Tamandua tetradactyla: one gene and its partners. The protein of the gene in region 1 purifies or fractionates together with the protein of each later gene. This does not show direct contact. Links are inferred from orthologs where the notes say so. Each region holds a gene or a part of one and is shown in the gene's direction. Other genes may lie near its edges.

Region 1 (7,811 bases):
GGGATGAAGGGCAGAAGAGCTGTCATGGGGTGAAAAGAGCATGCCTGGGCCTCTGGATGTCACCTGGAATCTGGCCCAGGCTGTGAGTCTCAGTTTCCCCATCTGTAAAATGGAGTCCATGATATCCACTTCACAGGGTTGGTGGGAAGAGTACAAATGATGTCTATTAATTGCCACATGAAAGGTCTTCAAAAATGGTTTGGGGGTGGAAAGGCAGGACTTTGAAGCTGGAGAAACAGGTTTGCATCAACTTATAGGAGTACAGCTTGTAAGGCTAAAGCTGAGGTACTGGGGAACTGCAGAAGGACTTTAAGCAAGAAAGACACACGATCAGACCCACACAGGCCCAAAGATGAGAGAGGAGGAAATCGTTGCAAGCCGGCTGGGCTGGGCCGTGGGGAAGGGAGGGGTGCTAAGGCGCGGCTTGGTGTTCGGAGGCCAGGGCAGGTCTCCACTGGACCCTTTCTATTCTCAGGCCGTTCTCTCCATCCTGTGACCCTGCAAATCCCAGTCCCCCACCCACCCACCCCAGCCTTTCTGGCCTCCAGAAAAAGCTGTGTGGACCTTATTTCCAAATAAGGTCACATTCACAGGTACTGAGGGGATAGGACCTCAACATAACTTTTTGGGAGACACAATTCAATGTGTCCTCTTCTGTCTTGGGAGAGGAAGACAAGAAAAAAGGACATTGTCCTAAGGTCTTCACCCAGCTGGATGGCAGCACCTTACCCTGGACCTGAGCCAGAGTAGTCGTGGAAGCAAGGGGCATGCTTGCCCTGGATTCCCTGGGACCTCTCCCCACCCACCCTGCATCAGGCAGCAGCAACCCTGGGGAACCCCTTGGGGCTGCCCTATCAGGGTGGAGAAAGGTAAGGGACCTGCAGCAGCTGATGCACTGAAAGGATGTTTGCTTATATCAAGGGAGCCAGGGAGAGGGAGGAAAAACAGCCTTCCCTCTTCAGCATATCTCATAGGGTTCAGGTACCATGTTCCACAAATACACACAAAAACGGATTTCAGAACTAAGAAGAGAAGATGTCGTTGGAAAGCCAAAAAAAGAGAAATGTCCCTACAATCCACTGTTCTGAATGTTCAACATGTCCTTATTCGAGTTACCCTTCAAAAAGAGAAATAACATATCTAGCCTACCTAATATAATGCAGTTATCCCTATCTCCGTAAAAACACTGTCACTCGTTTGTTTGTTGGATATGGAATGTGTGTAAATAAAATTCGTTTTTAAAATACATTCGTTCTTTTTCCAAAGGGAGAAACTCAAAGTCTGGTCAATTATCACAGCCCCTTCCAAGTCCAGGATTTCTAGGCAATATGCCTTCTTCCTTCACTCGTCCCTTATCAGCCCATCTCAATATCTTGCAAATTATGAAACTACATTGTAAGATGAATTAATACCAAGACAAAGTGGGGGAAAGGGAGAAAAAATCTGGAATTAGAATATGTTTAAATAAAATACTTGTTGCATCAAGAGAAGAAATACATGTACAAGTTATGGACTTTTTCTACCACAAAGCTGTAGCCACCCAGTCCACGAACTCTTTATCCTCCATCAGCATCTTGGCCGTCAGGGTCCTTTACCAGCGATGTGTCTCCGAACTTCATTTTGAAGTAATCTGAGCTCTTGGTGGATTTCCCTGTAGAGAGTTGACTTTTCCCCAGAACATTTAGTTTTGAAACATTGAAAATAGATTCACGAACATTCCTATACCTTTATCTAGATTGGCCAGTTATTGCCATTTTGCTACGACTATTTTAACACTCTGGCCATCAGTGGGGACCCTCTTTACTTTCTTGCCTGGTGGCACTGAGAATGACCCATCGGCAGTCTCAGCTTCTAGGTTAGTGGAATCGTTATTGCACCCTCTGGTGGAAGCATTTCTCCCTTGGGTCAAAATCTGACTCTAAATCAGCCAGAGCCCAAAGTTGGAGGAACAGGAAACAGACATTGTGCAAAAGGATCATTAGTTGAGACTGCAAGGGGATGAGTCCCACTTCTGCTCTTTGGTTCCCATACCCACATATTCTGCCTGTAGGAGAAGCACTATATTCTGTGTTCAGAGATATGACATTTCTTAAAAGGATCCTAAAAGTACTGAAAGTCATTGATGCTGGGCTCAGAAACCGGCTTTCCCATGATGTAGAACTAGCCTACTAATTATTACTCATATTTGTAATTTAAACTTTTAATTGAAATATGCATAGAGAGGAGTGCACAAATCTTGTGCAGATCAATGATTTTTTACAAAGTCAACAAACCCATGTAAAGAAAAAGGACATTAGCAGCCTCTCACAGCCACCTCGTACCCGCTTCCCAGTTATCATCTGTCCAAAGATAACCACTCTTCTGACTTCTGGCCCCACAGTCAGTTTATCTGATTTCTTGTGTAACTATGTGAATGAAATCATATAGTTTGTCTTCTTGGAATCTGGCTTCTTTTGTTCAACATTAAGTTTTTACTATTCCCTCACGTTGTATAGCAGCAGCTTGTCTTTTCCATTGATGTTTAATCCATTCTACTACTGTTGGTGGATATTTGGGTTGTTTCCAGTTTGGGGCTATTATGGAGACTACTGCTGTGAACATTCTTGTCTTTTGGTGTATACATCTAGGAATAGAATTGCTGGATCATAGGTATGCTGAAGCTGTGAGTTTAACTTTAGTGCTAGCATACTTTCGACTCCTGTGTTGGAGTCACTTTTGATGCCCCTTGTCCCCACAATCGTTTGGATCTCAGAGGTAAAAGAGTGCACCGGTGTTGCCTTGGGGTTTTTCTTCCAAGGTGTGACAGCCATTCTGCAAATTCTGGTGCTGCTGCAGAGAACAGCATGATAACTCACACTGTCATCTGGCCAAGTACCATTTTAACACACAGTGATGGCAGAATGCAGCCTGATTCTGAAATAGTAAAAGGGGTGGGGGGTGGTAAGTGCATCTTGGCATTGATAAGATATATCGGAAAAATAATGGGGACCAAGGAGCAAGCCCTGGGGAGTGTGATGGTTATAGGTGGGCCACAGAGCTGGCAAAAGACGCCAAAGGGACTGTCGGACAGCCGTGAGCGTGTGATGTTTCAGACTGGAGAAGCGTTCGAAAAAGGAGGAAATGGTCAATGGTGACACCAGACTGCTAGGTGGATGAGGACAGGAAACAGCCCTCCAAATCTGTCGCGATGGATGTCACAGTGACTTTGTGAAGAGCCGTTTCAGGGGCCTGGTGGGTACAAAACTTTCATTAAACCAGCCAGAAGAGAGCCATGGAAATAAAACAGCAGAGATGGGGGAATAAGGGATTATTTGCTTTGAAGGGATGAAAAGAAAGGGAGTGATAAGGGAAGCAAACATGGGCTTAAGGAAGAGCTTTTGATTTTTTTTTTTTAAATAAGGGGACATAGAGCCATGCTTGTACGCGGAGGAGAATGTTTCACAGTGCAGAAATGAATGGTACAGAAGAGTGAAGGATAATTACAGGAGGGAAGTTCTTCAGAGTCTATGTTGGAGGGAATAAAGTTTTTTGAGGAGTAGGTAGGGACTGGTCTTAGGACCGGGGAGAAGAGGTGGGTACCAGAGACTTTCGGTGGGAGGGTTTGGTGGCAGGAAGATGAGGTAACTTTTGTCAGACCCCAATATTCCGGCCAAACAAATGTCCAGCTCTGGATGTTAACTCCCTAAAATGGACACACGTTTGTGGGCAAGAGCGGACTGTGAATGTTCTTATTTTCAGTTAGCTGCCCACCAAGCTCTGACCTAGGGCAAAGGGTTAAACATGAGGTTAAAGGTCGGCTTCGGGGAAAGACGTAGGTGCTCCCTACAGCCCTTTCTCGGGAGGGGTCTAAATGGAAGAGGCGCGGCTGGGCTGGAGCAGGAGCAGCGGGGCGCGCGCCCGTCTCCCGTCGCGCCTGCGCGTTGGCTCCCTTCGGCTCCCTCACACTGTTTCTCCCCAGCCTGGGCGAAGTTCATTCCCCCTCGCTCGTTCTCGGGCGCGCGCGCGCGCCTGGCCAGCGCCTGCGCAAAAGAACGGAGAAACTCGCCCCCACCCCGAGCGTGCCCGGCGCCTGCGCGCTGCGGGCTCCCGGGCCTCCCCTCCTGAAGAAGAGGAGCAGGGAAGATGGCGGCTGTGGTGGAAAATGTAGTGAAGCTGTGAGTGGTCGTTTCTTTCTCCCCTAGATCGGGAGGTCTTGTAAGGGGCTTGGGAGTGGAGGCGGTGTGGGGAGGGGATGAGGCGGAGAGAGAAATATGCCTGGGAAGGCCATGTTGCTACTCCTGGCGGGGGAGGGCAACAGAAGACTCCGGAGAAGACGTTGCGCTTCTTTGGAAACTTGGGAGGCCCTGTGGGGGGCACACGGGAGCCCCTTACGGCGGAGTCTCTGTGGGGCTGTGTGGACTGAGCGCTCCTTCAGGGCTGACGTAGGCGCCCTTGCAGCCTACGAGAGGTCCGCAGGCTGAGGCTCTCTCCCCGGGTCGCCTCCGTCCGGAGGGGCTGGGCCGAGGCCCGGGCGGCCCAGGCGACGGTCCGGAGCCCTGGAGTTGAGCCGCTTCCCCGCGACTCCCAGTCGCTGCCCGCAGCCGGCCCCCGAGCAACAGGCTCCGGAGCCGCTGAAGGGGAAAAGGGCCGTGGGGCTGTTTGATTCTAACAGCCCCATAACGTCGGGGTACCTTGGGTGTCTGCTACCCAGGACTTAAGATGGTAGTGGGAAGAATTTGTTGGAAAGCAGAAATGAAAGAACTTCAGAGGAGCTGGCCTTTGTGCTGGCCATTCCCAGCCATCAACAAACAAACAAACAAACGGGAACTGGACGGGAGCAGTCCAGGACGACTTTATAGCCTGAAGGGACATCTGGGTCGCCAGTCTTCTCCTATGCTGTACCATTGTGCTGGTCAGTTTTCGAACAGAATTAAAGTTGATGGTTGGGAGAGAAATGGAGAATGGCCTGTTGGTTGCTTCCTGTGAGTTAAAGATGCTTTGGGGCTTGATTAATCCAACCTCCTTCCTGAAGAAAGGATTCTGAATGAGGTTAGAAATGTCTTAATGCCCCGTGGGCCGGTAGGCAAGCTGTTTTTAATGGATAATTTGGGCTTGGTGCAGGAGTTGGAAAATTGAGAGGCATCCACCTGTCCAGCAAGCCGTTTAGATTTTGAGAACTATTCTAAGTTTAGGTTTGGGAACTATTCTAAAGGACTGACAGCTTCTCTGTCTTTGTCATGGGCTAAGCCCCACATTTCCCAAGAGCCTTTTTAAAGGATATGTTGCTTCTCCCCAATGCCTGGAGCTTTTCTTCTCCCCCCTGCCTGGAGTTTCCCACTTCCATTAAGCTAAGTGCCTTCTCCTCTTGTGGTTCTTTTTTTTTTTTTTTTTTTTTTTGACTTGCTTTCTGCTTTATCCTGCTACCTCTTTCAGCCACCCCTCCTCCCAACACATTATCTTTCTCTCTGATCTGCCCACTCTAGTTTCCCTGCTCTCTCTTCAGGCTGACATTTTCCTCAATTTAGCAATGACAATGTTGATCTGCCATTTATATAGTTATCCTTCCTGACTCAGACGTTCTGTCTTTGTTTCTCTGCCCTTCTCATTGTTGACTCCCCCACTCCCATTCTAAGGGAAGATGTTATACAGATTTCCCGCTTCCCAAGAGTCAAAGCGGCCACCTTGGAAATCTTGCTGTGCCGAAGGAATGTCATGCTTGCCTAGGTTTTGAGAGTTGTAGGTAATGAGGGTCTTTGTGTTGGAAAACTTTCTTCAGGGAGACAGGGTTGCCAATTATTTCCTGTGTTGTCAGAAGGTAGTAGCAAATAGAGCATGACTTCTCATTTTTCTTTAAAGACCTGTAGAGATTGTGAGGGTCACCAGCCACTGATTCCTGAGTATGGATAATAAGAAACCCACTTTCCCCTCCTCAGTTCTAGCTGCAGAAGGCTGCAGACCACAGTTAATACGTTTCCCCCGGCACCTCCTCTTTAAGAGTAGGTGTCCATTCTTCCTGTCCCATTCTCACCCTGCAAAGAGTTGCTCTTCTGGCACTTCTCTTGATCATGTGTGTCCTGTCTTTTGACACCTGAGGTTATATCCAGCCAGGTATTTTCTTGCTTGCATCTTATTCTTGAGAGAATTTTCCTATTTGTGAATTCTCTGTCCATCCTAAATGGTCTCAGGATTGAAACAGTCTTTAAGGAATCTTACCAAAGAGAAGCCAAGATAAAATGATAGTATTAAAAAGCTGTAGCTGCTGACAGATTTTGAAACGGAATTAAGTAACAAAATCTGGGAAATTCTGTTTGCTTGGAATTTCTTGCTACAGGAGCCCTGAGTTCTTAGAAGCTCTCTTTCTCCCTTTCTTGCTTGCTCTTCATTAGATCCTCCCTGCCCCTTAAATATTTCATTCTCAGCCCTCATACCCCCTTTGACAGTTTACCCCACCCTTTGAAATACCACTTAACTCACAAGAGCTTTTACAGAACATCTCTCATCCATTCCTCAGAAACCATTTCTAGCCTCCTTGCTCTGACTTTGCAGCCCTCAGCCGGTCTGCCCTTCCTTCCATTTGGCTTCCAAGTGTCAGTATCAATTCCCATCAGCAGAAACAAAGGAGCTGCTGCACTCAGCCTTGTTTATCCAATTTCCCTCTGTGGTGAGGACGTGGCTGCCTCCTAAAGGCAAGCAAATGTGAGCCTGCTCCTTTCTCACCATTCTCCAACACAAGGTTTGTGCCTACCTCAAATTATGGTAATTATAGCTTATTGAATCAAGCCAGGCTGTACTTCTGGGGTCGCTGTCTGTGTGTGTGGTATGTATCTTTTTCAGCTGCTGGGCACACACTAAGCTGTGCTGTATTTTCCTGTTGCACTGCACTCAATGAAAGCCCCCATCAGATTCCAGAACAGAGTTTGCTGGGGTAGCTAGACTTATGGACATAAGCAATAGAGACTTGGTCTGTCTAGCTTCTCATACTAGGAGTCCCCTCTCACAGGATCCTGATATGTCAAAGCTTATCTAGTCTACCCCCCGCACCCCCTGGTCTATAGACTAGAAACATGAGGTCCACATAGGTTGACGAAATGGCCATGTGTATGTGGTGACCTGCAGCCAAACCAGGTCTTTTTACTCTCAAGTCAGGTCTGACCATGTACCAGACACCTTCATGGGTACTGGGGTTACAACTGGGAAATAAATCACCTCAATCCTCAGTTTGTTTTGTTTTAAGGTAGATCAAATATAAATAAGTATTGTTACAGTTAGGTTAAGCTCCAATATGAAAGCACTTATTAAACCCTGGAAGGGAAGAACAAAATTGATTCCACATGCATGTTTCTTGTAACCAGACAATGCCTGGTCCTGTGTAGTTTTCTAGCTTTTTAAGCACTTAAATGTTTTCCTTTGATTTGGATTTCAAGTTAATCGTTTTGAGTCGAGAAGATTCTTTCCTATGTAATTTGATGGTCTGGAAATGTTGAGGAACCTAGGATGGGCCTTAGAGCTCATAGGTTTTGTATTAGCATAGTCCTCGATCAAAAATAGGCTCAAGGAAAGTTCGGGTCTTTGCAGATGCCTTCCATATACTGTTAATGTAATATATAGAGAAAATTAATTGGCTAAATATTTAGTTCACAATCCAAAAGATATTAAGAGGCATATAGGGGAAAATCTAGTCACCCAGTTTTTCTCCCTAGAGGCCTGAAGTTTCTTTTCCTCCCTCTTTGTTATAGAAATGGTAGCATCCTGTAGTACTTCCTAGCACTATACCTTGCTTTTTTCCCCAAAATTATCTTGACAGTTGTTCAATATCTGATTGTTCAATATTT
Region 2 (7,811 bases), on another chromosome or scaffold:
CAAGTGAAGGTGTGATTTTGTTCTGAATTCAGGAAGGATTGATCCAGAGGAGTAGGAGAATTTGAAGGTGTTATGGAGGGATGCTTGTGGAAAATTCCTTAGGAGGTTGAAATGATGGGAATAGAAGGTTGAGGGCAGATGAGCAAGGCCAAATACTGTACCAGGAACTCAAGAATGCCGGTGAATGTAATGTAGTAAATACAGAAGCGTGGCAAGAGAAAGGGGACCAGATCATGCAACACAAAGATACAAGGACAGAATTTGCAGGGGAAAGGTGAAAGAACTGGGGCCATGGAGATGGTAAAAATTTGGTAAAATTTTTGGAAATTATCTATTATTCATGAAGATAGAGGTAACACTCAAAAGTTAGTTACAAGGGAGGCATCTGAGAGTGAACAGGATAGTCCCCAAGTGCCAAACCCCGTATGCCACATTCTCCTTCTCAGTCCAAATCCTCCATTTTGTAAACCATGGAGCTGCCATCCCTTCACAACACAGTTATTGGTTGCCCTCTGCTGGTCAATTTTGGTCTTGTTTTTAAGTCTAAGAGTATGAGCAAAATGGTATTTGGTAGGAAGCAGAGCACTGAGCCTACTAGATTCTATGAATTTATTTAATACATATTTGATTACATCTACAGATAAGGCATTGTGAAAGACAGCCTAAGTCTAAAGAAGTCCAGTCCAAGTGACAATTAAAACATGTACACATAATTACTGTAAAAACATCCATTTATTCAACAAATATTGTTTTTGTTTTTTGTTTTCATTTTGTGGCTTATATGCGCCTGAGTTTATGTTCTATACTTCAAATAATAAAGTTAAGGCATAGGATATGTTCAGCAATATCTGATCAGGGAAGACTCCCCACGAGAACCAACATTTAAGTGGAGGCTTAACCAACATTTAACCAACATTTGAGTGGAAGGTGAGAATGAGAAAGAGCAATTCATGCAGAAAACAGTACAGGCAAGGCCACATACTATAGCAGAAGTTAAAAGAATGGCAGTGAGTGAAATATAGTGAATATGGAAGAGTGGTGAAAGAGGCTAGATCATGCAAGACAAAGGGCAGACAAACAGCAGCCATCAGGGGCTTAAGGTCTCAGGCTATAGTACCCATCTTTAGTGCAGTTTTAAATTAACCCTACTTTCCTGATGAAAGCCCAAGTACCTTGGTGTAGTATGTGGTGGGCTCAGCCTGCACTCACACCTGAAGGAAGTAGACAGATTTGAGACATATTTAGAAGACAGAATAAGTAAGACTTGTTTTTATATATTTTATGGAGGCATGTCAAGGGAGATGCCTTGCATACAACTCAGGAATGGTGGTAGTAGACCAATAGGTTGCAGGTGAAATGATGAGGCACAGCAGAGAGGGGCTTAAAAGATATGATGATGGGAGAAGAGGTGGGCAATGGTGAGGGCAATCCACAAAACAGCATGAACAAAGGTATGAATGAACTGACACAAAAACATTCTCAACAAGCAGCCTAGCTCTTTCCCACAACAGACATTAGAGGATAGGAAGAGCCAGGTGAGGTGAGGACAGGAGCCTTATAGGTCCTAGCTTGGTTAATATACAAAGAGAATTTAGAACAGGGCCTGGCACTTAAGGAGAACACAAAAAGTGACAGACAGTTAACTTCCCAAACCCTGGCTCCAGCTCTTTAGTGTTTGTTTCAATAGGTTCCCCCAACCCCAGCTCTGTGATGCCTGAGGTTTATCTCCTCAAGAACATCTGAGTGAGAGAATGTCCTGTTTCGTGGGTTGTCAGTGTAATAAAACCCACAAAGTGTAATATAGTAATGGAAGTACAGAGGTGCCCTCTTTTCCTAGAAACTCTAGGTTTGACTATCATTACAGAGAAAAGCACTCACATTCTCAAACAAAATTGAAACACCCCTCTTCATTCAAATTCTTTACTACCCTCTCTCACAAGAATGAAACTTGCGCCGAACACTCTGCTGGCAACACAGTTAATAAGACTTAAAGTGCCGTGTAGCCTAGCAGCCAATACAACTGTGCATAATTAAGCTTCCTGTGACTTCCTTCCCCATACTGCTCCACCACCACAAGAAAAAAAAGAAAAAAAAAATCCAGAGGTGAAACCTTTGGCTTTCCTTTCCGAGACAGAAAGAGAAGTGCAAGAAAGTCACTTTTGGGGATTGGGACTCCCTTTATGAGTTGTGAAGGTAAAGCAAACAAAAACCGCTGCCGTCACGAACAGGATTCGAACCTGTGCGGGGAAACCCCATTGGATTTCGAGTCCAACGCCTTAACCACTCGGCCACCGTGACTCCCAAAAATCGCGCTTTCCCGCGCGCTTACAGAAGGGATTCAACTTCTGACCCGGCAAGAAGTACAACTGGAAGCTAGGACCCGACCCCTCTGCTGTGGCCCTCCCTCTTCTTACCTCCTCTTCGGCCCCTCAAAGGAAAAAAGTCAGGTGGACAAGATGGTTCTGGAAGGTAGGGTCTCCCGCCTAGCATAGAGGGGTCTCAAGGAGCGAAAACTATTTAGGATTTGATAGCGGGGCCTGAAGAGGAAGCAGTTGGTGGGAAGGGACTAGAACTCCAGGGTGGCGGCCAGGGAACTCCTCGGGTTAAAGGGTGAGAGGACGGTCCCTGGACAAGACGTCAAGGGTGAGGGATCCTCGAAAGTTTAAAGGGAGAGCTGCTGGGGAGGGATGAAAGGAAGAAACCTTTTGGGAAAAGGCGTTTGAGCTTCTGTGGAATTAGAGATGTGCAAGGATGAGAAAAACTCGGGGCTCCAGGGTTGAGGGCGATGGACGTCCCCTTGAGGTAGAATAGAGAGGTTCCCCATCCCCCGGGCAGAGGAGGCCAAAGGAGAGAAAGGGCTTAGCGTCAGTTAAGGAGCGATCTCAGCAGAGTGGGCGCCCCCTCCAGGAAACAGCCGTGTCCCGGGAGATTCCGGCTGCCGCCACCGCCGCCGCTGCCACCGCCGCCGCGGCCGGGAAGGCCACCGGGGTCGGTCCACGCGTGGGGCCAATCTGCCGCCTCTGCGCCCGGCCTGCCGGCAGGGGGCGCTACGTGGGCCGGGGTCGGCCGTGGCGGCGGGAGGCGGCGGCCGCGGCGGCGGGAGGCGGCGGGAGGCGGGCGGAGGAGGCGGGAGTTGAGCTGAGCGGGGCGGGCGGCGGCGGCGGCGGGGCCGGAGCCTGAGAAGATGGCGGTGCGGAAGAAGGACGGTGGCCCCAACGTGAAGTACTACGAGGCCGCGGACACCGTGACCCAGTTCGACAACGTGCGACTCTGGCTTGGCAAGAACTACAAGAAGGTACGCGGCCCCGGCGGGCAGGCCCGTGGGGGGTGCTGGGGGCGGGACAAAGGGGCCGTGGCCCCGAAGCCCCTTCCCGGATCTTGCCCACCCTCCTGCCGCCTCCGGCTCCTGCCCGGCGGCCTTGAGCAGTTCCCAGGCCGCTCCCGGTCCCCGCCTGGCGCCCTGCGCCCCTGCCCCAGCCCATTTTACACCCCCAGCCTCTGAATTCAGCCCCCGCATCCCCCTCTGCCCCTTGTTTTTCTCCATTGCCCCGGTGGGCCCGATGCCAGCAGCCCATCCTCTCCGAAGCCATCGTTTTCCCGGCTTCTCCGAGAGACAGCTAGGGGTGGACGGGGTCGGCCAAACGTGCCCGCCACAGTGCGCGCCAGAGCTCCCCACGGAGCCAGGTACCAGCAGGGCTGAGGCCTCCCTGGTGCTTTGTGTGTGTTGAGAGAGATGATGAAAGCGGGAGGGTAAATGGTCATAGAGCAGGCCCCTAGCTACTCATCACCCTGAGAAAGGCCCCCAACCCAAATCACCTGTCTCCCGGCTCCTCACCCCCCACCTCCGTCTAAGCGGCAACAAACCTCTATGGGTACTAGTGTATTAGATTTCCTGGGCAGCGGCCCCTTCTTAAACCATTCCTCACCTTCATAATGAAGTCACCCTGCAAGCTAGTCTTGCATTGCATTGGCTTTGGGGTTCAGAACCTAAGAGGAGTTCCATTCCTCTAACCCTCCCCATCCCCATCCCATAAGTGGAGGTGATAAGGTAGTGAACAAAGGGTTCAAGAAGCTTTACCTGTCTTTTCCACCAAACCTCTTACTGGTGTCTTTGTCTTTAAGCCTGGTGACAGGAGCAGCTATACGAGAGGGTTTTCTCTGGAGATGATCTGCCTCTCTTCCTTCTCACTACCCCCCAGAAAGAGAGTTAAGAGCTCTCTTTCTGGCTTTCTTTCAGCCTCCTAGCTCTTCCTGCCCAACTTTGCAGCCTGTCAGAAGTGGAAGTGTGATGGGTGATTTAGGGGGACTCCCTCTGTGATCTTGGTTATGAGTCTGGCCCTGTTCTCAGGATCTCTCTCTGACAAACAGCTGCTGGATCTGTGCTTATCTTCACCCCAGTGTGAGGGTCTTGTTCCCAGGCTTCTACTTTGACTTTTGGAAGAGAGATCAGGCTTTGGGCTTAGTCCCTGGCCCTGGGGAGATTGACAGCCTGTGACCTGGTTCAGCTTTCATGCTCTTAGCTCTTGTCATTTACCTTTTCACTCATTGATCTCCTTACACCTCCCACTGAGATGAGCTCTCTTCTCTGTGATTAGGGTTGAGGAAACAGAGGTCAAAAGGTAAAGAGAAAGTTAGCTTTCTGGCTTGTTTTTAACTTAGAACAGAAGGCTAGGTTGCTAGGTAGCTTAATATGGCTATGGCTAAGAAGGCCCTGAGTTGCATCTCAGATATAGTTTCCTCATAAAGGACAGATGTTGCATTACTGTTCCTTACTGGAAAAGTAGTAGCTGATCCTTCCCATCTAGGAGTGCCTACAGCTAGCACGAAGACATTTGTACCCACTTCCTAGCAGAAGCCAAATGCATATTCTTTCTGTCTGCTTACCCTACCTCACTTCCTTGTGCCTCATTAAGCTACATTATAGGGGGAAACTTGGCCTTCCACAAAATTCCCCCAAGAAATACAATGTTGGCCTGCATAGTGAGCCCCAAAGATATTGCTTCCCTGGCCTGAACTCCATATACCTTCAGAATTTTAGAACCCTTGGTGTTCCTGACTGGAGATCAGGTGTCAAGATAACAGGGTCCTGTAACAGGGTCCTGTAATTTCAAGGTATTGCTGAGGGAAGAGTAGGAAGTTTCTTACATCTCCAGCACCCAACACTAGCAATCTGGCTAGTGGAAGGAGGAATTCAGCTTCCTGATAAGGGTTGATCGGGGCCTTCTTTCTGCTACTTTCTTTACAGAACTAGGCATCCGAGGAGAAAGGCACTATTTTCTCTGCCCTAGATGCTTCTAGAACTCCTGGGAGAGAAATATGGGAGGTGGTAGATCATTTATCTGGGGTCTGTTTTTCTTTGCTTTTCCCATTTCCCTAGTATATACAAGCTGAACCACCCACCAACAAGTCCCTGTCTAGCCTGGTGGTACAGTTGCTACAATTTCAGGAAGAAGTTTTTGGCAAACATGTCAGCAATGCACCTCTCACTAAACTGCCGGTGAGTGCAAAACCAAGGTATACATACTCCAAACTGGAGAGGGAATTTTACTTTTTTGTATATTTGTAAATTTTATACTTTTTAAAGTTTGGGTCATTTACTACCATTCCTACCCCTTGTCAGGGCATCATTGGCTTGGTCTAGTCCCTAATTTATTATTCCTTTTGTCTTAGTAATACTTTGTGCAACAGGTATGAGATTTGGATTTGCTTGTGTTCAAATCTTGGCTCTGGCCCTTGGTGGCTCTGTTATCTTGGACAAGCCATTTAACCCTTCTGAGTCTTAATGCCTTCATCTCTAGTTGGGAATAATAATACCTACCTTTTAGAGTTTTTGTAATGATAAATGTGGTACTCCTGGAAAGTGCTTGGCACAAGGTGATGCCTTATGAATTTTGGTTTCTTTCCCTTCTTTCTTCTAAGCCACATGATACAATAGCACAAGGGTTAAAGAATTCCATCTTAAGAGGGTGATCAACATAGAATTTTGTGAAAGGATTGTTAGCTGATGAGAATTTAAGATATAACTCTCATAAACTTCTTTCTTGTCTCAATTTTGTAGATCAAATGTTTCCTAGATTTCAAAGCAGGAGGCTCCCTGTGCCATATACTTGCAGCTGCCTACAAATTCAAGAGTGACCAGGGATGGTGAGATGCCTTTTCTCTATGCTTCTTATGTTTAATTTAGAGAGAATCCCCTTTTATGATTCCCTGGAATCTTTCTGGGGTGGGAGAAAATAGGTAGAAATCCTCGTGAGTCTCTTGCTTTGCTAGGTCAGTAGGCCTGATTTACTAGGTCAGAAAAATCAGAACCAAAATAGTCTCCAAGAGTGAGCAAGTATATACGTGTGTATATCAGTGGGTATAGGGAATAGGATTCTTAGGTTGCCTTCTCAAGCTTTTCATAATCCTTTTGGACTAAGCACAGGGTGATTCAAGGAATTGAGATCAGTGAATCCCAGATCCCAGGTGATTTTGGCAACAGCTGTGAGCAAAAGCACCTCCTAATTTCCCATATTAAGAAGTCACATACACTAACCTCATCCCCAGACCTCAGCTATACCATTCACTAGATTATTGCCTCTTTGCAAGGCGGCGTTACGATTTCCAGAATCCATCACGCATGGACCGCAACGTGGAAATGTTCATGACCATTGAGAAGTCATTGGTGCAGGTAATGGTCGCGAACCTCCCCCATCCATTTCCATTCCTTCACTGAGACTCCAAAACAACTCTTCTCCATAATGTCATCCCATCTGTTTCTCCTCCCCACAGAATAACTGCTTATCTCGACCTAACATTTTTCTGTGCCCAGAAATTGAGCCCAAACTGCTAGGAAAATTAAAGGATATTATCAAGAGACACCAGGTAAGTGGGTGGGTCAGGAGAGGTCTCATAAACTATGACTCTTTTCCTGATGTTTTCCATACAAAGCAGGAACCTTGAAATACCATGTTTTCTACCTTTAACTCAGAGGTGGCTCTACCTGCTTCAAGAAAGAATTGAGTTAAAGCCCTGAGCCTCTCTTTTCCTCCTGTTTCTCCCATTTCCCAGACTTAACAGGTTTTGATCACTGGTCCTAAAGACTGCATTGGCTAGGGTCGAGGGTGGGGGTGGGAAGCATCCACTTTCACAGAGCTGGAGATCACTTAATTTTAAATAAATGAAATGCTTGCTCTTCAGAACTTTATAATAACAAGCAGACATCATTGATATGGATATACATTTGATTTTAAATTGAAATTTCCCATGTATAGTTTATCTGTTCAGAGGATTATCTGCAGTTCTTTGACTTTTCTCCATTATGAGCACAATCCCAGCTGTTTCCCTCTGCCACTCAGCTGGTGTGTGTATAGAGAATACAAACTAACTTTTATACCATCCTAAGCAAACTATGAACAGGAAGCCAGATCTGTGGATAAATCTTGCTTTCGTTTATTTACCCCCACTCAGAGGGGACCATATTTACCTGTTTTTCCCTGCGCCATCCAGGGAACCGTCACTGAGGATAAGAACAATGCCTCCCATGTTGTGTATCCTGTCCCAGGGAACCTAGAAGAAGGTGAGGCCTGGGTTGCCCTGGCCACTAAGGCTTGGACTAGGAGGTAGAGGACTTCCCAGATCACCTGCAGGGCTTGGATTCCTCTCTCCTTTCAACCCTGAATCCTTCTACCCTCTAAAGTTCCTGTTACCAGGTCCCATGCTTTGATAGGAGAATGCTTAAAGTTTTTGTTCAGAGTTATTTTCTGTATACCCCTTTAGCTTATACTGTTCTCCTTTCTATCTCTATCTGCAGAGGAATGGGTACGTCCAGT
Region 3 (7,811 bases), on another chromosome or scaffold:
TTGAACTGCTCCTGGTGTGGGCATGGTGGCAGGAAACAGTCACAGCATTTCAAACTTCCCTTTAGAGCACTGCAACTCAAGGGAGGGTGGGGGAGTTGTCAACACTGCTGATCTGTTTCGTTTCTGGTAACTCTGAACTGGTAGGACAGACATTTCACTCTTTGCCAGACTAGACAGCTATTTTTTTTCTAGAATATGTTCTCCTACATGCATGGGAGATAGTCTTGATGACCAATATCCATATATAAAATCAAATTTAAGTTACAGTATATGAATTACTATGCATTTGAATGTAAAATTTAAATGGATTGTAGCATATTATAAATTCACAAATATTATCTCTTCAATATTTAATTATTCAAGACCAACCCATCACAATTTTTTTAGGTGAGATAGAACATATATATAAAAAAGCAATAAATTTCAAAGTACATTTTAACAAATAGTTATAGAACAGATTTTTAAGTTTGGCATGGGTTACAGTTCCACAATTTTTTGTTTTTTTCTTCTAGCTGCTCCAAGACACTGGAGACCAAAAGAAATATCAATATAATGATTCAGCAGTCATATTCATTTGTTAAATCCTATTTCTTTGCTATACTCCTCCTTCTCTCTCTCTTTTTCTTTTTTTTTTTTGTGATAATAGATTTACAAAAAAAAACAGTAAATTTCAGAGTACATCGCAACAGTTACTTGTAGAACAGATTTCAGAGTTTGGTATGGGTTACAATTCCACAATTTTACGATCACAATGTTTTATAGGTCATCAGCTTTATCAGTCAAACATAAAAACAGAGTGGAAGTAAAAATGATTTGGGGATTTGATATGCTAGAATAAGAGCTGTAAATAAGGGACAACTATTAAACGAGGTGTACTGTGCTCAGTTTGTTACATGCATTGTTTCAGGACTAAACAAACTTTTTCCTAGTAAATATTTCAGGCTTGGTGGACCACATGGTCTCTGTTAGTTACTCAACTCTGCCTGGATAGAGTGAATACAGCCATAAATGGATGTTTGGCTGTATCACATTAAAAGTTAGTTTATGGTCACTGAAATTTGAATTTCATATAATTTTCACATCATAGAACAATTTTTTTTTTAAAACCATTTAAGAGTGCTTAGCTCACAGGCCATGCAAAGACAGATGACAGTTGGGCTCTGGCCCATGGGCCAAAGTTTGCTTAACCCCTGCATCATCTCACTGGGTCAATGGAAATTTCTTAAGTGATATAATATACTGTGATACAATCCTACTGGGTAAAGTGAATGGGCCAGGGTTTTCTCACTAGTTTTGTTTCCCACCCCATTCTCCATCACTTCCTGCCACCCTACAGCACCATCACTCATGAGTCTGTATTCAATTTTCATCAGTTTAAGAATAACCCTAAGTATAGATTCTAGACCTGCCAATTTCAGAACTGACTTCAGCTAGAAGGCTATGCAACTATCTCACAGGTGTGAGCAATGGAGAGACATGAACAGATTTGGGCATCTTTCTTTCTTAAAGAATAAAATATTTTACGAACACAGACTTAAAACTTTATTTAAAATTTTTTTATTAATTAAAAAAATTAACAAACAAACAAAACAATAAGATATCATTCCATTCAGACTTAAAACTTTTAAACAAAATATTTGCAAGCCAAATTAAGCAATCGAAAAGGAAGATACATCATAACCAAGAAGGATTTATCCTAAGAACACAAAGTTGATTCAATATTTGAAAATCAATAAATGAAACTCACTATTCCAGCAAACTGAAAAAAGAATGAAACATCATATGGTCATGTCAACTCTCAGAAAACTAGGTATTCAAGGCAATTTCCTCAACCTAATTAAAGACGTTTATTAAAAACCTACAAGTAACACCAAAGTCAACGGTAAAAGACTGAAGGCGGATTTGGGCGTTTTTAGAGATCAAACTGCTGCCAGCCTGGAGAAGCAGCAGAGCGACAACCGTTTGCCGTATCCAGGGACAGGCAGCGTCTCAACCTCAGACTTCGATGCCGGAGGTCTGCCTTCCTCGGCTGCCCTGGGCGGCCCCCCCCCCCCCCCCGCCCCCCGCCTTCCGCCCCCCGCCTTCCGCCCCCCCGCCCTCCGCCCTACCTCCTTCCCTCCCCTCCGGTTCTCTCTCCCTCCCTCCCCTCACCACCCCTCCATCCTCCCTCCCGCCCTTCCCTCCCCCCTCAACTCCCACCTCCCTCCTCTTTCCTCCTTCTCAGGCTCCCTCGGCCCCGCCCACCCTGCTAAGTCCCGCCTTCTTCAGCTCCGCAACCTAACTTTCTGCCCTTCCGTCGCTCTCCCCCCTCGCCCCGCCCCTATGGCGGCCTTCGATTGGCTAAACTAACGGAGCTGTCGCAGGGACACAGCAAGCCTTGTTCTGATTGGCCGGCGGAAAAGGCTGGCCCGCTCGCGACTGGTTGATGAGAAGAGCCAGCAAGTGTGATTGCGCGCCGGTGTGCGGCGCCGCTTTGTTGCTGAGGGGCGGCTGTGAAGTTAAGGGAGGGGGCTAGCGCCTCCCAGCCTCAGCCGGACACGTCCCTTCACCTGGCGGCTCCGCGTAGGGGTCGCGCCAGCAGCGGCCATGAGCGGCGGCGTGTACGGGGGAGGTGAGTGAGCGCGGCCGGGGAGAGCACCTTGTGTGGCGCGGGCTGTGTAACCGCCGGCCGGCCCTCCCTCCCGCCCCCTCGGATCTCACCCCGGACCCCAGCGCCCCTGCCCCGGCTCTCGAGGAGCAGGCGCCGACCTTGGGTAGGGGCGAGCAGCGCCTACCAGGGTCCGAGCCCGGCTCCAGTCCCCATCCCTTCAGGGGCGCGCTCGGCCGCGTCGCCCAGTGTTTCTAGGTCCTGGTGTGTAAAGGCCTGGGCGGAGGGCTGCCTCCCGGCCTAGCGAGGGCGCGCGACGGAGGGGCGGGCGCACCGGACAGCGCGGGCTCCTCCTCCCCATTCTCCTCCTCCTCGTCTTCATCCTCCTCGTCCTCGTCCTCGTCCACGTCCTCCTACTCGTCCGCCGCAACCTCCTCCGCCTCCTCCTCCTCGTTCTCCTCCTCGTCCTCCCCCTGCCCCTACTTCTCCACCTCCTCCTCCTCCGCCGCCTCTTTCTCCCCCGCCTCCCCCTGCCCCTACTTCTCCACCTCCTGTGTGTCCGCCTGGAGCGGCCTCCTACTCTTGCCCCTACTCCTCCCCATTCTGTTGGCCCAAGTGGAGTGGCCTCCTCCTCCTCCCTCTCCTCCTCCCGCTCTTCCCCTTCCTTCTTCCTCCTCCCCCTACTCCTTCTCCTCCCTCACCTCTCTCTCCTCCTGTTAGTTCACATAGAGGGCTTGCTCATCCTCCTGCTCCTTCTTTCCTCCTCCTCTCCCTCCTCTCCCACCCTTCCTCCTCCTTCTCCCCCCTCCTCTGCCTCCTCCTCCCCCTTCTCCTTCTCCACCTCTCCCTCCCTCTCTTTCTCTGCCTCCTGGTCCTCTTCACACTCCTCCTCCTCCTCCAGATCCATGTGGAATGGGCGTGGCCTCATGTCCTCCAATAACGCCTGGCCATGTTCACTGGGTTCTCTGGAGTTACGTGGGCAGGTCTGTTTAGGAACACGTGTGACCTAAGGGTGCCGGTGTGATGCATAGACCAACAGCCAGAATCACCTGGGAGCTTTTTGGAAACGCAGAATCTCAGGCCCCATCCTCAGCCTTCCACTGAGCCTTCATTTTTAGAAGACCACTGGCAGACTTGAAGCTCTGATGTCTGTGATTTGTGTTCTGCATTGTTTGATGAGTTAGTGGACAAGGAGACAAATTGGAAGTATTACTGTTATTGTTTCTGGAAAGGATGACATTTTATGAGTAGGGGATAAATAATGTTTTCACAGTTCTCAGTAGTTTTTGGCCTGTAGTTTGTGTCTCTTCTGAGTGGAGTACAGACCTTTGCTCTCTCTCCACTTACCTATTTGATTTTGATATCTGAATGATGGGAATTTGGAGAAGGCATCGTGGATCCTCACAATTACTCTCCCCCTAGCCTGAAGATGCAAGCTTGAGAGAAAAACTGGGTCATGTATGGTTTAGGTATTTGTAATAAACATCCTGTGTCTTGTTGGCTTATGTAGAGTCTTAAAGATCATTTCACAGTTAAGTGTTTAGAATTCACAAAAAATAAATGCATGTTTTATGATTGAGCTATCACTGTTTCCAACATTTAGAGTGGGTCTCCCTTTTACACATGTTGTCCATGTAAAAGCAAGCAAACCTCTCACCTAAATGTTGTGTAAATAACTTACTAGACTATTTTTTTTTTACTTTTTATTGTACAATATAACATATATACAAAGCAAAGAAAGAAAAAAGCAATAGTTTTTAAAGCACTCTTCCACAAGTGGTTCAGATCCCAGAGTTTGTCATGGACTACCATATCATCCTCTCAGATTTTTCCTTCTTTCTGCACCAGAGTATAAGGGGCTAGAAGAATAAATATATATATTTTTTTATAATCACAATTGACTTTTTTTTCTTTTTTGTGAAAAATAACATATATACAGAAAAGTAATAACTTTCAAAGCACAGCACAACAGTTAGTTGTAGAACAGGTTTCAGAATTTGGTATGGGTTAAAATTTCACAATTTTAGGTTTTTACTTCTAGCTGCTCTAATATACTGGAGACTAAAATATCAGTTTAATGATTCTGCAGTCATACTCGTTTGTTAAACCCTACCTTTCTCTGTATAACTCCACCATCACCTTTGATCTTTCTGTCCCACTCTTTAGGGATATTTGAGCTATGGCCATTCTAACTTTTTCGTATTGGAGGAGACTGTCAGTAATAAGGGGTAGGGAGATGGAACCAGCGATGTTCTGGAGAGGCTGGGCCCTTTAGGTTTCAGGACTTATGTGGTCCAGGAACCTATCTGGAGGTTGTTAGGTTTTTAGAAAGTTACCCCAGTACATGGAACCTTTGTAGGATCTTATATATTGCCCTAGGTGTTCTTTAGGATTGGCTGGAATGGTTTTGGGATTTGGCAAGGTATGATAGATATATGTCTAACTGAAGCTTGAGAGTGACCTCCAGAGTAGCCTCTCGACTCTATTTGAACTCTCTCTGCCACTGATACTTTATTAATTACAGTTCTTTCCCCCCATTTGGTCAGGATAGAACTGTTGATCCCACAGTGCAGGTCGGGATTCATCCCTGGGAGTCCTTTCCCACATCGTCAGGGAGACTTTCACCCCTGGATGACACTACGTGGGGGAGGGCAGTGATTTCACTTACAGAGTTGGGCTTAGAAAGAGAGAGGCCACATCTGAGGAACAAAAGAGGTCCTTCTGAGGTGACTCTTAGGTATACCTATAGGTAGGCTAAGCTTCTCTGCTACCTACTTAAGCTTCACAAGAGTAAGCCTCAAGATCAAAGGCTTGGCCTATTGATTTGGGTGTCCCTAATATTTGAAGCAGTATCAGGGGATTCCCTGATGGTAAAGTTTAATAGTTCCATATATTTTTTTCCCATCCCTCAAGGGTTGACTGTATTTTTCACCTGCTTGCTTATTATTAAACAGCTCCTTCTAGTTTAAAATCTAAAATTTATTGTTGTCTTATTTTAATAATTATTTCTGAACAGATCTGACATCTGTCTTTAGCTCTAGGTGTAATGCATAATTCACTGGGGTTTCCTTATCTCCCAGCTAGTTGCTGGGCCTACTCACTGCTGTTTGTTATCTTTCCCTGTACTCCTCTACTTCAGGTCCCTTTGCATGACAGAAGTAAACCGGTATGCCGTCCACTGTAGCCCAACTTTAATAAATTGTTAGTGTCATCACTCTTTCCCCGCTTTCCTGCCCGAATCTCTAACCTTAATCATTTCTTAGTCATCTCCCCCATGAGTTGAAATTACCAATCCTGGCTGTGTCTTCATCCACACAAAAAAATAACCACTTTCCTGCACCCTCTCAAAATCATTAGTCATTAGTATCCTGTTGGAATGTCTTAAGACCAGGTTAGAAAATTACCATCATTTTCTCATGTTTCCTCAAGAAAATCCCATTACCCCTAAAATTGGAAGCCATTTAGTCTGGGTAAAACCCTGAAAATCCTCAAATAAGTGGAGATAGCAGTGTTTTTAGTGGAAAAGGATCCAGTCATTGAGGATTTTTTTTTTAATCCATTGGAAGTTTCATCCTAGGTTTTAAACATTCAGACCTCTGTGGTTGTGATGTTAAGCTTCCTGTCACTTTTCTACTTTAGGTTCATTGGTGCATGAATCAAGGGAATTTGAGAAGTATTTAGGAGCTGTTTTTCCAAATTTGACAGAACTTGCTGAGAGGTATGAAAAAGATGTACAGCATGCCTCTTTGACAGGCCACCAAGTGCGATAGGGAATGCTGAGAGATGAAGTAGGCAGGTTGGAAGGCAGTGCTTCACATATGTTCAACTTCATATACCCATGGGACAGCAGGTAGAATTGATATGGATGTAGGATAAGAAGTTCAGGATCTAGATCTGGATCGAGGTTAGGGTTTAAAAGAGAGACATTTGAAATTAGGATTATCAGTGTTTAGATAGAAATTGAAATTTTTAAGGATGTTGGGGAATCACCTAGGAAAGGATAAATTGGGGGAGCTGCTGCTAATATGAAGTCCATGGCCTTCCCAGGGAGTCCCTCGTTTGAACTGTATTTTATAATAATTGATTTCTTTTGTAATCTGTTTTAAAACATTCTGAGAACGGATTCATAAAAAGTTGAAATTTTTGGTTAATCAAGTAATTAATTCATTTAGTGAGGTTATTTCTTTACCCAGAATTCTGGTTACAATTTTGTAACCAATTCATATTAGCCAATCTGTTCGTTGGTGTGCATTGCCTACTATTTATACTTGACATATGTGATAAGGTGAAAATGAATGCAGTATTTTGTTCTTACAGACCCCTAGACAAAATGATTAGGGCTAGAGAGTTTTACAGAGAAGGGTTAATTACATTGGAAAGTGTAATAAACAGAAATTTCATTTCGAATTATAAATAAAACTAGGTGTCTCTTCATTTTATTTAAATAAAAATGGAGCTATTACTTTCCAAAGTCACCATCTCTCAACTGTGAATATTTGCAGTGTAATAATTAAATATACCAAAAAATAGTATGTATGTAAGCATGATTATACTTCTATACTTACCACTGAGATTAAAGATATATTTTGCCATATCTGCCTCATAAAATGTTATTGATATAGATTCTTCCTCTCTCCTCAGAAATAACCACTGAACTCAGGTTGGTATGTAAGATTCCCATACCCCTGGCATATTTTTATATTTTAACTATATGTGTATGTATCCATAATGAATTAAATAGTATCTTTACACACACACACACTCCTTATAACTTGCTTTATGTAGTCAACATTCTTTTGAAATATGTAAGATCCAGCTGATTTACTTTTAACTACCATATAGTATTTCACAGTATGAATAGACTGTAATTTTTCTACTTAGAGACAAGAAGGTTTTTTTTTTTACCTTTTCCCATGACAAGAAGTGTGACAGTAGTAATGTTAGCTTTCAGTGCTTATTATACTTATTATGGGTCAGGTACTGTTCTGAGTACCTAAATACATTGAAGTATTTAATACATTTATGCCTTAAAGCATCCCTGAGATAGATACTATTATTATACCTATTTTATAATGAAGAAACTAAGGCAGAGAAGTAAGTAACTTGTCCAAGGTTGCATAGCTAGTGAACCTTCTTATATATGTCTCCTTGTGACATATGAGAGTGTTGCTCTAGAGAAGATACCATATAATAAGTGTAATTTCAATGTATGTACATCTTCAGC

Evidence for each region.
Region 2: the proteins of DPF2 (region 1) and SMARCC2 purify together in Homo sapiens (affinity purification with mass spectrometry; 8 studies listed by BioGRID and IntAct, counting the BioPlex papers as one, with this or other methods). This does not show direct contact. The link is inferred for Tamandua tetradactyla from reciprocal best matches to the Homo sapiens genes DPF2 and SMARCC2.
Region 3: the proteins of DPF2 (region 1) and ACTL6A purify together in Homo sapiens (affinity purification with mass spectrometry; 5 studies listed by BioGRID and IntAct, counting the BioPlex papers as one, with this or other methods). This does not show direct contact. The link is inferred for Tamandua tetradactyla from reciprocal best matches to the Homo sapiens genes DPF2 and ACTL6A.

The regions. Positions count from the first base shown.
Region 1 is NC_135335.1:9,219,361-9,227,171, reverse strand, and holds the start of DPF2 (zinc finger protein ubi-d4), read left to right. Parts: upstream 1-4,028; 5' UTR 4,029-4,122; coding exon 4,123-4,154; intron 4,155-7,811. UniProt on the Homo sapiens protein: Plays an active role in transcriptional regulation by binding modified histones H3 and H4. Is a negative regulator of myeloid differentiation of hematopoietic progenitor cells. Might also have a role in the development and maturation of lymphoid cells.
Region 2 is NC_135333.1:123,238,486-123,246,296, reverse strand, and holds the start of SMARCC2 (SWI/SNF complex subunit SMARCC2), read left to right. Parts: upstream 1-3,129; 5' UTR 3,130-3,184; coding exon 3,185-3,295; intron 3,296-5,377; coding exon 5,378-5,497; intron 5,498-6,058; coding exon 6,059-6,144; intron 6,145-6,588; coding exon 6,589-6,670; intron 6,671-6,771; coding exon 6,772-6,864; intron 6,865-7,488; coding exon 7,489-7,558; intron 7,559-7,792; coding exon 7,793-7,811. UniProt on the Homo sapiens protein: Involved in transcriptional activation and repression of select genes by chromatin remodeling (alteration of DNA-nucleosome topology).
Region 3 is NC_135331.1:77,895,875-77,903,685, forward strand, and holds the start of ACTL6A (actin-like protein 6A), read left to right. Parts: upstream 1-2,423; 5' UTR 2,424-2,586; coding exon 2,587-2,611; intron 2,612-7,811.